2 linked regions of the Caenorhabditis elegans genome follow. The protein of the gene in region 2 purifies or fractionates together with the protein of the main gene of each other region. This does not show direct contact. Each region holds a gene or a part of one and is shown on either strand. Other genes may lie near its edges.

What was found. Proteins that work in one complex are often made in the same cells at the same time.
Region 1: the proteins of ntl-2.1 (region 2) and ain-1 purify together in Caenorhabditis elegans (affinity purification with western blotting, with the first as the bait; one study listed by BioGRID). This does not show direct contact.

What each region holds. Positions count from the first base shown.
Region 1 is NC_003284.9:16,611,668-16,618,182, reverse strand, and holds ain-1 (ALG-1 INteracting protein), read right to left. Parts: upstream 4,733-6,515; 5' UTR 4,691-4,732; coding exon 4,510-4,690; intron 4,467-4,509; coding exon 4,314-4,466; intron 4,257-4,313; coding exon 3,438-4,256; intron 3,313-3,437; coding exon 3,221-3,312; intron 3,177-3,220; coding exon 2,661-3,176; intron 2,312-2,660; exon of another isoform or gene 2,163-2,311; intron 2,101-2,162; coding exon 1,936-2,100; 3' UTR 508-1,935; downstream 1-507.
Region 2 is NC_003280.10:4,372,240-4,378,193, forward strand, and holds ntl-2.1 (NOT2/NOT3/NOT5 C-terminal domain-containing protein), read right to left. Parts: upstream 4,220-5,954; 5' UTR 4,162-4,219; coding exon 4,152-4,161; intron 3,473-4,151; coding exon 3,353-3,472; intron 3,110-3,352; coding exon 2,990-3,109; intron 2,803-2,989; exon of another isoform or gene 2,768-2,802; coding exon of another isoform or gene 2,749-2,767; intron 2,460-2,748; coding exon 2,329-2,459; exon of another isoform or gene 2,309-2,328; intron 2,256-2,308; coding exon 2,129-2,255; intron 2,079-2,128; coding exon 1,925-2,078; intron 1,864-1,924; coding exon 1,648-1,863; intron 1,164-1,647; coding exon 707-1,163; 3' UTR 502-706; downstream 1-501. Other genes in the region: paic-1 (Phosphoribosylaminoimidazole-succinocarboxamide synthase), read right to left, coding at 181-276.

The DNA of each region.
Region 1 (6,515 bases), on a different chromosome or scaffold from region 2:
TACATTTGCTCATGCATCATTGGCAGCTTATATTTTGTATACTTTTGGTTTTAATGCGACAAGGTCAACTGTCAAATTATTTTATGTTTGTTTTTTCATATTTATTTTACATACTATTAGTCGGCCAAAATGCTACAATTTAAGTAAGAATTGCAGAGTAAATCTGGTTTCAACTTACATTAATGATTTTGAAAGCCTCCGAATTCTTTGAAAAATGTGTCCTCGGTAGTATAGTGGTGAGTATCCGCGTCTGTCACATGCGAGACCCTGGTTCAATTCCCGGCCGGGGAGAATCTTTTTGACAAGCTTTTATTTTACGAGAAATGGTTTCTGGCTGCACAGGTGATACCAAAAAGCGGTTGCTGAACAAATTGGCTATTTTGAATACAAAATATTAATTGTGTTTCTATCATACACTCAAACCTAAAACTTGAAATAAATATTAAAATAAATACAGAAACAGTGCTATTTCATTTCTGCTCCCTAAAATTGAACATTCCAGAGTTTAATTCACAACGTTTTATTATACGAGAATAGAACCAAAGGTGATGTTGGACGGCATGGGTGTTACAAGTAAAGTATGGTAAGAGATAAGAAAACAGTTTTGATTATTACATGTTCATGCGAGATTTAATCAAGATTTTTGAGAGCCGGAGTGAGAAATGAGAGAGGGGAATTGACAAATTTCTGGAAGAGAGAGGGTCCCGAATTGTGAAACTGTACTGCACATAATGAGTTTATTTGAAGTCCGGTAAGTTTGGAGAAGAAGACAATGAAATGAGAACACCATTTTGTTTGAAATTGAGAGCGAGAATTCGGAAAAGGGCCGTACTAGGAATTGACCTGGTTTCTAGGGAAATGCTGCCGGGACGACGAGTTTATGTATCGTTTAGAAAGGCGTTTCTTGTATTTATTTTTGTATGATTTTCAAAGTGTGCGCATGTAGCTGATTGAACCAATTTTGACAAGTTTTCAGGGATAATTTCATCACAATTTTTGGTTGGAACTTAGTGAGTGAGGGTGAGAGCAAAAAGAGACAAGAGACGGGAGACATTAGCACATTGAAACTGTAAAGAATGACGTAGAAAAGACCCAGATTACAAATGACGTTTGGAAGCAAAGCATACACAGAAATTTTGATTCAAATTAAAAATGGGAATAGCTTGATTGAAAAGTGAACGTGGGGGATTAAGAGTAGTGGGGTGAAAATGCTCGCAGAGGCTCTGCAGAAAGTGCAGTTTTAGTGGAAATAGCCCCAAAAACTGAATTATATTTTCGAAAGGATACAATTTAAAAAAAGAAATACAGTATTTTGATTAATATGGACTTTATTATATTTTGAGGTTTGGATGTTATGGAAAAGGGAAAGTAAGATGGATTTACGCGTGGTTGGAAATTGTTGGAACAAAGACCCCTATTATGAGAGAGAGAGAAGAGAAGGTATGAACTGGCAGACATAAACCTGGAATCCCTGTGAGACCAAGCACCAGCCACCAAATTATTCTTAGTGGGAGGGGGAAAGGCGAGAGCCTCCCCTTAAACAAGAAAAATTGATTATCTGGAGATGGCAAAACGAGAGGTGAAATACAAAAAACGTGTAATTTTCCCCGTCTGATCAGCAGTAAAGAAGGAAGGAGACGACAAGATAGAGAGAACATTCACAAGACCACGTTTACAATAGAAATCCGGAGGCAATAAAGTAAGGAAACAGACACACACACACACGAAATTAAAGAGAAAGGGGGAGAGTAAAAAAGTATTGAAGAAAATGTCAAAGGTCACTGAGACAAGTTAATGGGAAATGATGATGACAAGGCTGAAACTTTGAATTTCAAATTTCCAAACTTAAAATTCAGATTACAGTGCGAAACACAAAATAAAAGTAATGATGATAATTGTTCGTGTGTGGGAGAGAAGATCGGTGGGCGATACAATCTATTCTAAGAACGAGTAGTGATAGTCCTCCGTTGAGGCTGGCGCACGTTGCTCCTGCGGTTGCACAATTCCAGCGTCCATCAGCGCACGGTTCACTTTTTTCGAGTATTCTTGAACTTCAATCTTTGCTGTCGTCACTTCGATGATGAGACGATTGTGTTCAAGCTGGAAAATTGATTTGTTTGGTATTCATATTATTCATCTTTGCAAGCAATCGAACTGAAGTAATCTGAGCTCCTTAGCGATGCGTCTAATATTTTTCAAAAGTTTGATATTAAAGGATTAAAGGACGATCCGTACTTCAGGTGTTATGCACTGCGGATCTGGAATTCAGTTCCGTAGTGCACTGTCTGGTGGGGCTCCCACCGGGCTATTATTTGAGCCACGTTCAAGCCGGGGACCGTGACCGATAATCCAGTCGTTGATTGCTCCACTTCTCAATAGAGGCTGGGTAAACCTAGGGGGCTTGAACTCATGACTTCCAGCTTGCTAGCGGCCACCACTACCGACTGAGCTATCCCGCCGCCCAATTTAAAATCTAGGTTTAAGCAGGATCTAAGCTAGTTTTCTGGTAAGGTTGATATTTTAAATTTCTAGCAAAATGTCTAGCTTTCATTTGTTTCCTATAATAATAGGTTGTAGTATGATAATTATTTTGGCTTCTACTATTTTAATTTTTCATAATTTTATCCTGAACAACCTGAAAACTCGACAATCTTCCTCACCTTTTGACTATCATTCATGTACTTTTGTTGATTCTGTGGATCAACCTCTTTCACATCTTCTGGCAGAGAACTCTCAATTATCTGCTTCAGCTCATTCTCCACACTATCCAACGCTGGAATTTTGACGAGCAGCATATTGACATACTGCAGCACCATTGGCGGTAAGTTGGCCATCATCGTCACGCTCTGGTCCAGGTATCCCTTGTCGACAGCGTTCTTCAGCATCTCCGCCACAGCCACGTGTTGATTGGTTCCGGGCTCATTGAGTGGAATTGTTCCTCCCTGCACCCACGATCCAGTGGTGTTGTCACTGGAGAATGTTGAAGTGTGCTGATTCGGAAGATACCATGGATTTTGCTCAGTTGTCAAGTCGTTCCATCTGTTGTTCTCGTCGAATATCGTCGACTCGCTCTTGGACGGATTGTTTGGATCATTTTCTGGAAGCTCTCCCCATCCGGTCACAACAATTGGCCGTTTCGCTGGTACTGGGAATGGGAAACGTTGATTGTCCTCTCCCTGAGACATGAAGTTCAATTTAATACCTAAGACAACAATATTACCTTTTTCTGTGGTACTGGACATCGGTTCAATGCAGTTTCCAAATCCTCATCGGCACCTTCGCCAACAATCCACAAGCTAATGGTACGGTCAGCTGCAAAAATAGTCGATAATAGGTGATTTCTATAGCAACACATTTAGACTAATTTCAGTTTTTCATGAAACAATGGAGAATTTCATTCAATTCCCACCAAGGAAATATTTTTTTAAAAAACTCACTTTGCTTCTCCGGGTCTCCCCAATAGGACACTCCAGTATCTCTCTGCCATTTCTTGAGTTCTCCGTTTGGATCATGCCAAACAGTCAGTGTGAGATCATCAGCAGCTCCGCCGATTGGGAATGGATTGTTGTACTGCTGGTCTCCTCCCATGAACTGCTGCATGCTTCCACCACTTCCATTGTTTCCGGTGCTGTTCCACATATTGGATCCTCCGCCACTCTGGCTTCCACTGTGTCCCATTCCACCACGGTTGTTGTAGTTTCTTTGACCGCCGTGGCCTCCTTGACCTCCACCAGCATTGTTATTCTTCCATGATCCGTGTCCACTATTCGGAGCAACACCCATATTTCTCATTCCACCCATACCACCTCCCATGTGCATATCCATCGGTGGTGGAACTGAAACGTCAACACCGCCACCCATATTGCCAGAGTACCGTCCCTGGTTGTGGTTTGGACGACCGTTTCGGGGCGGCATGCCTGACATTCCACGATTGCTGTCCTGCCCCCATGGACGGTTCATCTGCTTGTTGCCACCCATGTTATTCGGGCCACCCCATCCCCCTTGGTAGTCTTGCTGCTGCTGCATCATTGGCCCACTACGTTGTCCTTGTCCTGGTGGTCCATGTCTCATGCCTGTATTCCAGGCTCCCTGCAGCAATGGCATCGGGTATTGCTGATGCTGTTGAGGCTGTTGCTGTTTCCAAAAGTCATCAGATTCTTTTCCCATTCCTCCGTTACTCCAAACCGGGTGCGCTGGCTGAGACCCTATGGACCAAGGCGCAGATTGACCTCCAAGACTATTCAATTCACCGAACGCTGAAAATTTATAGATTTAAATTTATAAATATAACGTCTAATCAAATTTGAACTTACAGGCATGTGGTTGAAGTGGATACTGCACATCGCTCAATGGTGGATCACCCCATATCTGTTTCTCATAATCTGTATTCTGAATGCCACCCCATTGGCTTTGACTTGATGAGCCTGTGCCACTGAGTCCAACAAGGGCTTCGTTGACATTTGGCTCTGAAACAATTTTTACGTCATCAAGATTACAATTGCCAATTACCGATATCGTTCGATTCCTGTTGCCATGGCGATCTGTTTGGGAACTGTGGCTGCGGTACCGGCGGAGCCCAGACACGTTGCTGCTGGAGACCGTTGTTTCCCCATACAGGCTGTTGGTCGTTAGGATGCCACGCTGCGTCGTCTATTGAAATGTTGTTGAAGTTTTTTGCGAGACTCTCCATGGTTGCGTTGATCGCGCTCTGGCGATCAGAGTTTGAGCTTATCTGTAAAAAATGGAATATTATTGATTGATGAGTTTTGGCGAGAGCGTGATGGTAAATGATAGATGACAAGAGAAAACAAAGAAACTGATAGACTGATTGATAACACTATTTGATTTCGACATGGGTACATTGGTCGAACAACATTAGCCGCGTAACGAGCAGGATTTCATGAAGGCAATTGAAAATTTTACGGACCAGGAGTATCAGCTTAATAGAAATTTTATAAAAAATGATCTAAAGCCATTCAAACAGTATTGAGCAAAATTATGTTTTACAAGATCATTGTCAAAGTTAGAAAGCATAAACTATTAATTAATGCAATACTGCTAGATAGAAACAAGTTCAGTGTAAAAAGCGTTCTCCTGTAAAAAGGTAAACATTAAAAAATTTAATAAGTTTTGTACAACCTACATAACTACTGTTGTAAAGAAAGGCCCCAAAAGCCCCCGGGGCGCTGCTGGCTAGGTGGGAACTAGGCGGACAAGGGGTTAAGGAAAAAGCAGGAAAGAGAGAAAGGAGAAGGAAAAAGCAGAAGAAGGAGAGAGACTAGTTAGAAGAGGGGTCTGGTGCTTCGCAGGCTGGTTGGCTGGGCTGCTGCTGCTGCTGCTGCTGCTGCTGCTGGCTACCCCGATCGAGGGCGAGAAGGCGACCGGCGACGACATTGCGCGTTTCTCTCCCTGTCTGTCTCTCTCCATCTCATAGTGAGAGGCCAACATCAAATTGCTTGCCGGGCGAGAGACGCAGCGGAAACTCCCCGTCTTTCCACTTTTTCCTCGCTTCACTACTACTAACCCCCGTGAGTCTGTCCGCTCACGCTTCACTCATCAGACCACCCTCCCGCACTCTCGCTCTCTCTTTTTCTTTCACGAATCAATGAGACCGCTGTGTGTATGTGTGTGTGTGTGCAGAGAGAAGAAGGAACGTAGGGTCAACTGAGAGGGTTTCATGTCGTGTAGAGACGGAGAAACCGCACCGCCGCACACTCACGCGCTCATGCGCTCACCACCGCACTCATAGACACTCATCGACGTGCGCTCGACCACTCACCACCATTTCTCTTCATCTCTGGTGGTTCTCCCCGTATCTAACAGTATATACGTCTGTGTGGCCAGTTCTACACACACACACACATACACACACTACCAATATATTTTCGATATGTGGGATGGACGGGACACACGAGCGAAGATGGACGGGATGAACAGCGGGACGGGCGACATGCCAAACTTGAAACACTTTTTGGTTGGAAATAGATTCGGAGAGAAATTGATTAGGAACTTGTTAATTGAGGATACTAAGGATATTTAACAGAAATTCACCAATTTTCTGAAAATTTGACATTACAGTGGTTTTTCTCTGTTATGAAAAGTTGGCTATATCGTAACTTTTTGTACTTTGTGAAATATTTAAATTCAAACAGGAGATGATAAATCTAAAAAGGAAAAAGATGAAACATTATGTTGAAATTCTTAAGACAGTGTTCATTAATTTGACACGCCAAAACAGCCGAGGCTATCAATTTTTGGTGACTGAATTTTTTCGACCTTGTGTGCCGCCACCGCTCGGGAACCAGAAACTGTGAGTGCTAGACAGTTGAGGGTTTGTTTTCCTTCGCATCAAGTTCACGTGACCCGGTGAGGTGGAAGAGAATTGGGAATGAGAAATCTATACTGTTTTTCACACGGAGAAGAAAACATGAAGAGAAACTTTTGAATAACGAGAAAAATGTTTTTCTTTTTCAAAATTGAAAATAGAAGACAAAAAACAAACACGCTGAGAGAAA
Region 2 (5,954 bases):
TTCCCAACGAGACCCAACGTTTTGGGGCGGAGCTTGTCAGATTACTCGCGGAGCGCGTTTGCATCACGATTTCAAAAGGCGCTTTTAAAATATCTAAATTTTAATCTATAAAGCATTAAAAAATTAGTAGAAAATTAATGTTTTCCCAAATTTTTTGAATTTTCAGTGAAAAAAACCAACCTTTTCTCCTTTAATATCAAAGATTTGCTTGGTTTTTCCTTCAGCAAGAAGCTCCAAGTTTTCGGGTCTCGACGCGATTTCAGCCAACGACGACATGACAAACAATAATAGTATCGAATGAAACTGTGTTGCTATCACGGAACGATATCAGAACCCCCTTGTAGGCGAGTTTGTCATCGACAAACATCTTGTTTTCAGCCTTTTTCCCCGTCTTATCAGTTCGGTGTTGCGCCACTGAAAATACAGAGAAAACCGCCGCCGCCAGTCATTGTGAAGCTCTTTCTTTGAAAAATCACAGGTTTTCAAAGAGCAACTTGTGTATATCGATAATCGTTTATACGAAAACGTAGAGAAAAGAGGAAAAATAAGGAAAACGAAGGAAAAAAATGGGAGATTGGGAGAGAAAATGTGGAGAGAAAGAGGGGAAAAAGAGATGGAAAATGAGAGAGAAAGGGAGCAATTCGAGAACAAGATGACGAAAGTGGGATATAGAAAATTTGCACACGAGAGATCATCTTCTTCTTGTTTAGTTTGGAGTAGCTCGCGCCGCCGATGGAACGGCTCCCGGTTGCACATTGATTCCTCCGATTCCAGCTGCTCCAACACCACCACCACCCATAACTCCGTTAAGACCCGCTGGTGCCGGTGGAGTGATTTGTCCGCCACCGCCGCCACCTGTGCCGAGCGTCAAGTTATGCATCTGAAGCATCAGACCCGTCTCCGGACCGCTCGGAAATTGTGGTCCTTGGAAAAAGTATTTGTAGGGTGTCGGTTGTCCGGAAACTGATTGCGGCATTTTCGGCCGATCCTCGAGCTCTTTGTACTCCAACTTTAACTCTTTCGGAATTTTTCGCCATTGCATCTGATCGAACACGTTGTAATGCCCTTTTTCATAATTTCCCGTCTGTTCTTTCACTCCACCGTACTGAGAACGCGTCAACCACACCTGTTCGCTTTTGTGAAATCGCCATTCGCGAGCGTACCTGCAAAAAATTTGAAAATATAATGATTGTTTCGTGATAAAAAAGATTTTCTCAATTGCTAACATAAAATATATGTTTTTTTCAATTTTCTAGCTAAAATTTTAAAATTATTAATAATTTGATTCGTGAACTTCGACCGCGACGTAACTGCAAACGGAGCGGCTCAATAATTTTTATTTTAACTTTTCGCTAAGAACGCGTGATTCACATGATTTTTCATAAATTTATATATGAGGCGAAATAAGAATCAACTAAAATGATGAACAATTATGCGATCTTAACGAAAAAGCGGATTTTCTTGAAAGTTTTTCGCCCAGAACGAGTGATTTTCTATCATTTTGGCCAATTTTTTATGCGTTTCATATGTAAATTCATGAAAATCACAAATTCTCGGGGAAAAAAAAAAACTAAAATAAATTTTTTAAACACGACGCTCCGCTCGCGGTCATGGTCGATGCAGGTTTTTGGAATAAACTTTACTTACAATTCGCACGCCGCCGCCACCTGATAAATCTCGTTTGGACAGTTGTAAAAAAGATAGAATAACACGTCTTCTGAAACTTTATTCAATCGCAGCGGTGGAAGTTTGTCTCGAATATGATTATGCGTCATGTACTCCTCGGGCACCTTCACGTCGAGCTCGTGTGCTCGAATCGGCGAATCGGCCCACGGACCACCAAAGTTCATGTACAATTTTCGTCTGAAACAGAGGGAAATTAGAGTTTTTCTGGGCTTTTCGGGCTTTTCAGGCCACTACTCACTCTGACAAATTCAAATTCAAGCCCAACGTCGTAAGATCATAACCTAACGCCAGTGAAACAATGGAAGGATTGTCAACTGTCCGAAGATATGTCACCAAACCCGCCATCCCAAACTGATCGTCAAGCATTGACGCTGGAATGTTTGTCACTTCGCCTGAAATTAACAATTATTATTTTAAATGCTTATTTTTAAAGTATTCCCACCATCAGGATGAGTAATAATCCCATGCATAGGTCCTTCTTGACTATTTCTTGATATCCCGCTGAGCCGCGAGGGGTCACAATCGCCTAGGGGTCCAGCAAAGTCGACTTGATGGTCGTCTGCTAACATCTGCAATAATTTATCGATTATTTGATTGTCATCGACGCAGAAATTTTGTTGACATTAAATTAAATTTAAGTACGTTAGCCAGTTGATCTCCAAGCATTGATCGCTGTGTTTGACCAGAACCGACGCCGGGAAGCGCGGGAAAATCCTCGTTCTGTATTTGGAACTCGGGATTTGTTAGACTGGGGTCCGATCTCATCAGGTTAGCTGAAAATTAATTTTTGCATGGTTTAACAACACAGGAACACGACAAAAACTGCGAAAATTCGGAGAATTTTTATGGAAATTCTGAACGAAAAATCTCTGCGGGGTACGGTCGATCATGGAATACGCAACCACCGTCACGGACTTTTGCACACATTCAATATTGATTTTTCTTAAATAAAAAATAAAATTTTCCAAAAGAATTCGGCGGTTTTTTCTCGAATTCATCGGAATTTTGCAGTAAAAATGAGTAAATTTTATCAGAAAATTTGCGTTTTGCCTAAAAACTCACGGAAAGAAGTTGCCAACATCGAAAAATTGCACAATTGCGTTCAAAACAGAATGAAACACGCATTGTAATTTTTAAAATGTTCAATCAGAATTTCGCGCGCGCGCATTTTCAAAGAGCAAACAAAAATTGATTTAAAAAAAAATATATATTCGCGGTTCACAACCAGCTATCGTACTTTTTTTTTTAATTTTTGATACTTCATGCTTTTCATCACACAGAAAGAGAAAAAAGTAAAATTTACCATAATTGGGTCTTTGTGCGCCGTAAAGATCTCTCGACGGCGATGACTGGGCAACGTTCAAAACACCTCCGCTCGTTGTTGGGATTGGGGAGAATCCGCCGCCGCCGAGTGAGGACGTTCCTGAATAGAAATCGATGAAATGCCTTGAGAAATGAAATAATTGTTCTAATTTTTTTTAAATATTGATAAAAAGGATGAAAGATTCAAGGAAAACATTTCCGTGGACTTCCACACAAGCAGGTCAAATTTAATATTTTAATTTTAATTTTTTTCCATTTAACAATAAGAATGAGAGTTCGACAGTGAGTTTTTCATAGATTTAAGAATATTCTCAAGCTAATAAAAAAAAATCAGTGAATTTACCTTTCGCGCCCAGTGATGGAAACTGGGACTCGTCAATAATTGTTGCGTTGGAGTGAAAGTTGGAATGCGAAAGAAATTGCTGCGTTTGAGGCAATCGTCGTTCGGTAGCTACTCCACCGACTGAAAATAGGCTTTGGTTAATTTTAATTTAAAGTTTTCTTTCTGAATTTAAAATTATTTTCATGCGATCGATAATTCGAATTAATCGATTTTCCGCATGGATTTATTCGGATGGGTCTCGCCACGAACACACTTTGATATTCACGGTTTTTTTCGACAAAAACGTTAATTTTCGAAGGATTTCTCACGGAAATAAGACGGAATTATTCCCCAGGCTCAAATTTTTGCACCACACCAAAACTCGACCCGGAAATGTTTTTAACGCGAAAAGGTGTGTGCGCCTTTAAGAAGTATTGTAGTTGAAAACTTGTGTTGTTGCAGAATTCTCATCGATTTTTATTATTTTTTCAACCGATTGTTTCCAAATTGAGTTTTTAGAATAAACAAATATATTTTTGTTTGAAAACTATGAAAAATCGATGAAAATCTTGCAGCAACAAAAGCTTGAAATTACAGTTCTCTTTAAAGGCGCATAGCCTTTTGCATTTAGGGAAAATTTGTCGTGTCGAGACCGGGAGCCGTATTTTTTGACGAAAAACCGTCTCGGTAATAGGAAAGAGGTTCAAATATGAATTTTGGTTCACTGGCAGGGTCCATCAACAGGAGAGCTTTTTCATCCAGAATTAAGATCTTCGCGGCGAGACCCAGATATCTGAAACCTTCAAAAATCAAAACTCACCAGAATTCATAAGCACTGCGCTTATGGTAAATCCTATGCGGAGAGATGGCTACGTTCTACTCATAAATCTGAAAGAAAATCGATTTTGGTCACCAGTTTCGCATGCGGTTTAGACGGGACGGGGAGGGGTAGATCAATTGAGAAAACATCTGAAGTCGAAGAAGCGTGTCTAGAACACGATGTTGATGATGAAGCTGATTCACAAAAAAAAACACAGTCACATGATGGGCTGAGATGATGATCAGATCAGAATCCGAAAAATTCAGTGCGGTCGTGGTGTTCGAAAATCGAAGAAAGCAGCGGAGAAATGAGAGACGACGACGAGAAATCGAACAATGCTGTGTGTGTATTTCCTACTCACTCTCTCTCTCTCACGTACCCTCTCCTCTCCCTCAACCATTTTCTCTACTGTCTCCGCCGCTCTCTATCTCTCTTCTTCTCCATTTTTCTGTCCCCCATAGAGGCCGGCAGTCAATAGGGGCTGCAGTGTTACCGTACCCCCGAAAACCTGCAGATCAAACACGACGAGATAGTGTGTCGAGTGGAAGAGGGCGCGGAGATGCACGCGACTGCTCGCGGGCCGTACGATCGAGCGCGTTTGCTACTGAAGGGGGGGGGGGGGGGAGGGGGGGTTGGTTGACCTGACCTCTCTTTGCCTCTCTCTCGAAAATGGAATGAATGGGAAGAGATAGAGAGTTAGGAGAGAGGATGTGCAGAAGCACAGAGAAAGCTAATCAAACCGAATGTGGTCTTTTAGTAAAAGAAGTGAGAACGATGGACCCATGAGCACACAAGATGCTCCTTCCTCATTGATTTCTTCCCCCTCTCCTTACTCATTTTTCACTAAATCGGTCAACTGGAAATTTGTGTATGTAGCATGCTTCTTCTGATCTCTAAATCTCGGCCTTTTCTGGCTTTACTACAAAAAAAAACCAAAAAAATTGTTCAAAAAGCTCGTAAATAATTTAAATGGGGTTCGAGCAAGACACAAGGCTATGTGCTCATTTTGTGAGTATTTATTTTATGGTGCATCGTTCAGTTATGCAGCTAGATTTTTTTTGGTTTTTTTTTTAGATAAAAAGATGTTAAAAATTTTGGAAGAAAGTAGTTTTTGGTAATATGTTTTTCTACCATAAAAGTTGTGTGCCTTTTATCCCAATTTTACAATTTTGCACAAAAAATACGGTACCAGGTCTCGACACGAAATTTTTTTTGAGAAATGCAAGAAAGCGTGCACCTTGAAAGAGTACTGTAATTTCAAATTTGTTGAATTTTCCTTAATTTGTAATGATTTTCTCAGAGTTTGTCAATAAAAAAAAAGTATATTTTATAAAAAAAGTATGAAATCCCGCAGCACTAAAAATTTCAAATTACAGTACTCCTTAAAGGCGCACACCCTTTTGCAGTTAACAAAAATTTGTCGCGTCGAGACCGGATACCGTATTTTCGGGCGAAAACCGAAACCCTTTGCGTCCAAGTAATACCGAATTTTTAAGAATGATTTTTGGAATTTTTTGCTTGAAAAATTGCAATTAATTGAATTATAATTATTCTACCTAAGAAAAAAAAACCTAAGTTTTATGGTTTTTTTTTTGAAAAAAAAATTATTTGATTTTCAGATCAATCTAAAAAATTCTGAAATTCACTTGAATTGTCATTTTTCCAAATAGAAAACCAATTTTTTCAGAATTTTCATTAGGAATTTGTTGTTTTCCTAGATTTTTTCCCCACTTCCTTAAAAAAACCAAAAGTTCACAATGGAAATTTATGCAAAAATTGTGGCATTTACTTTGGTCTCCATAG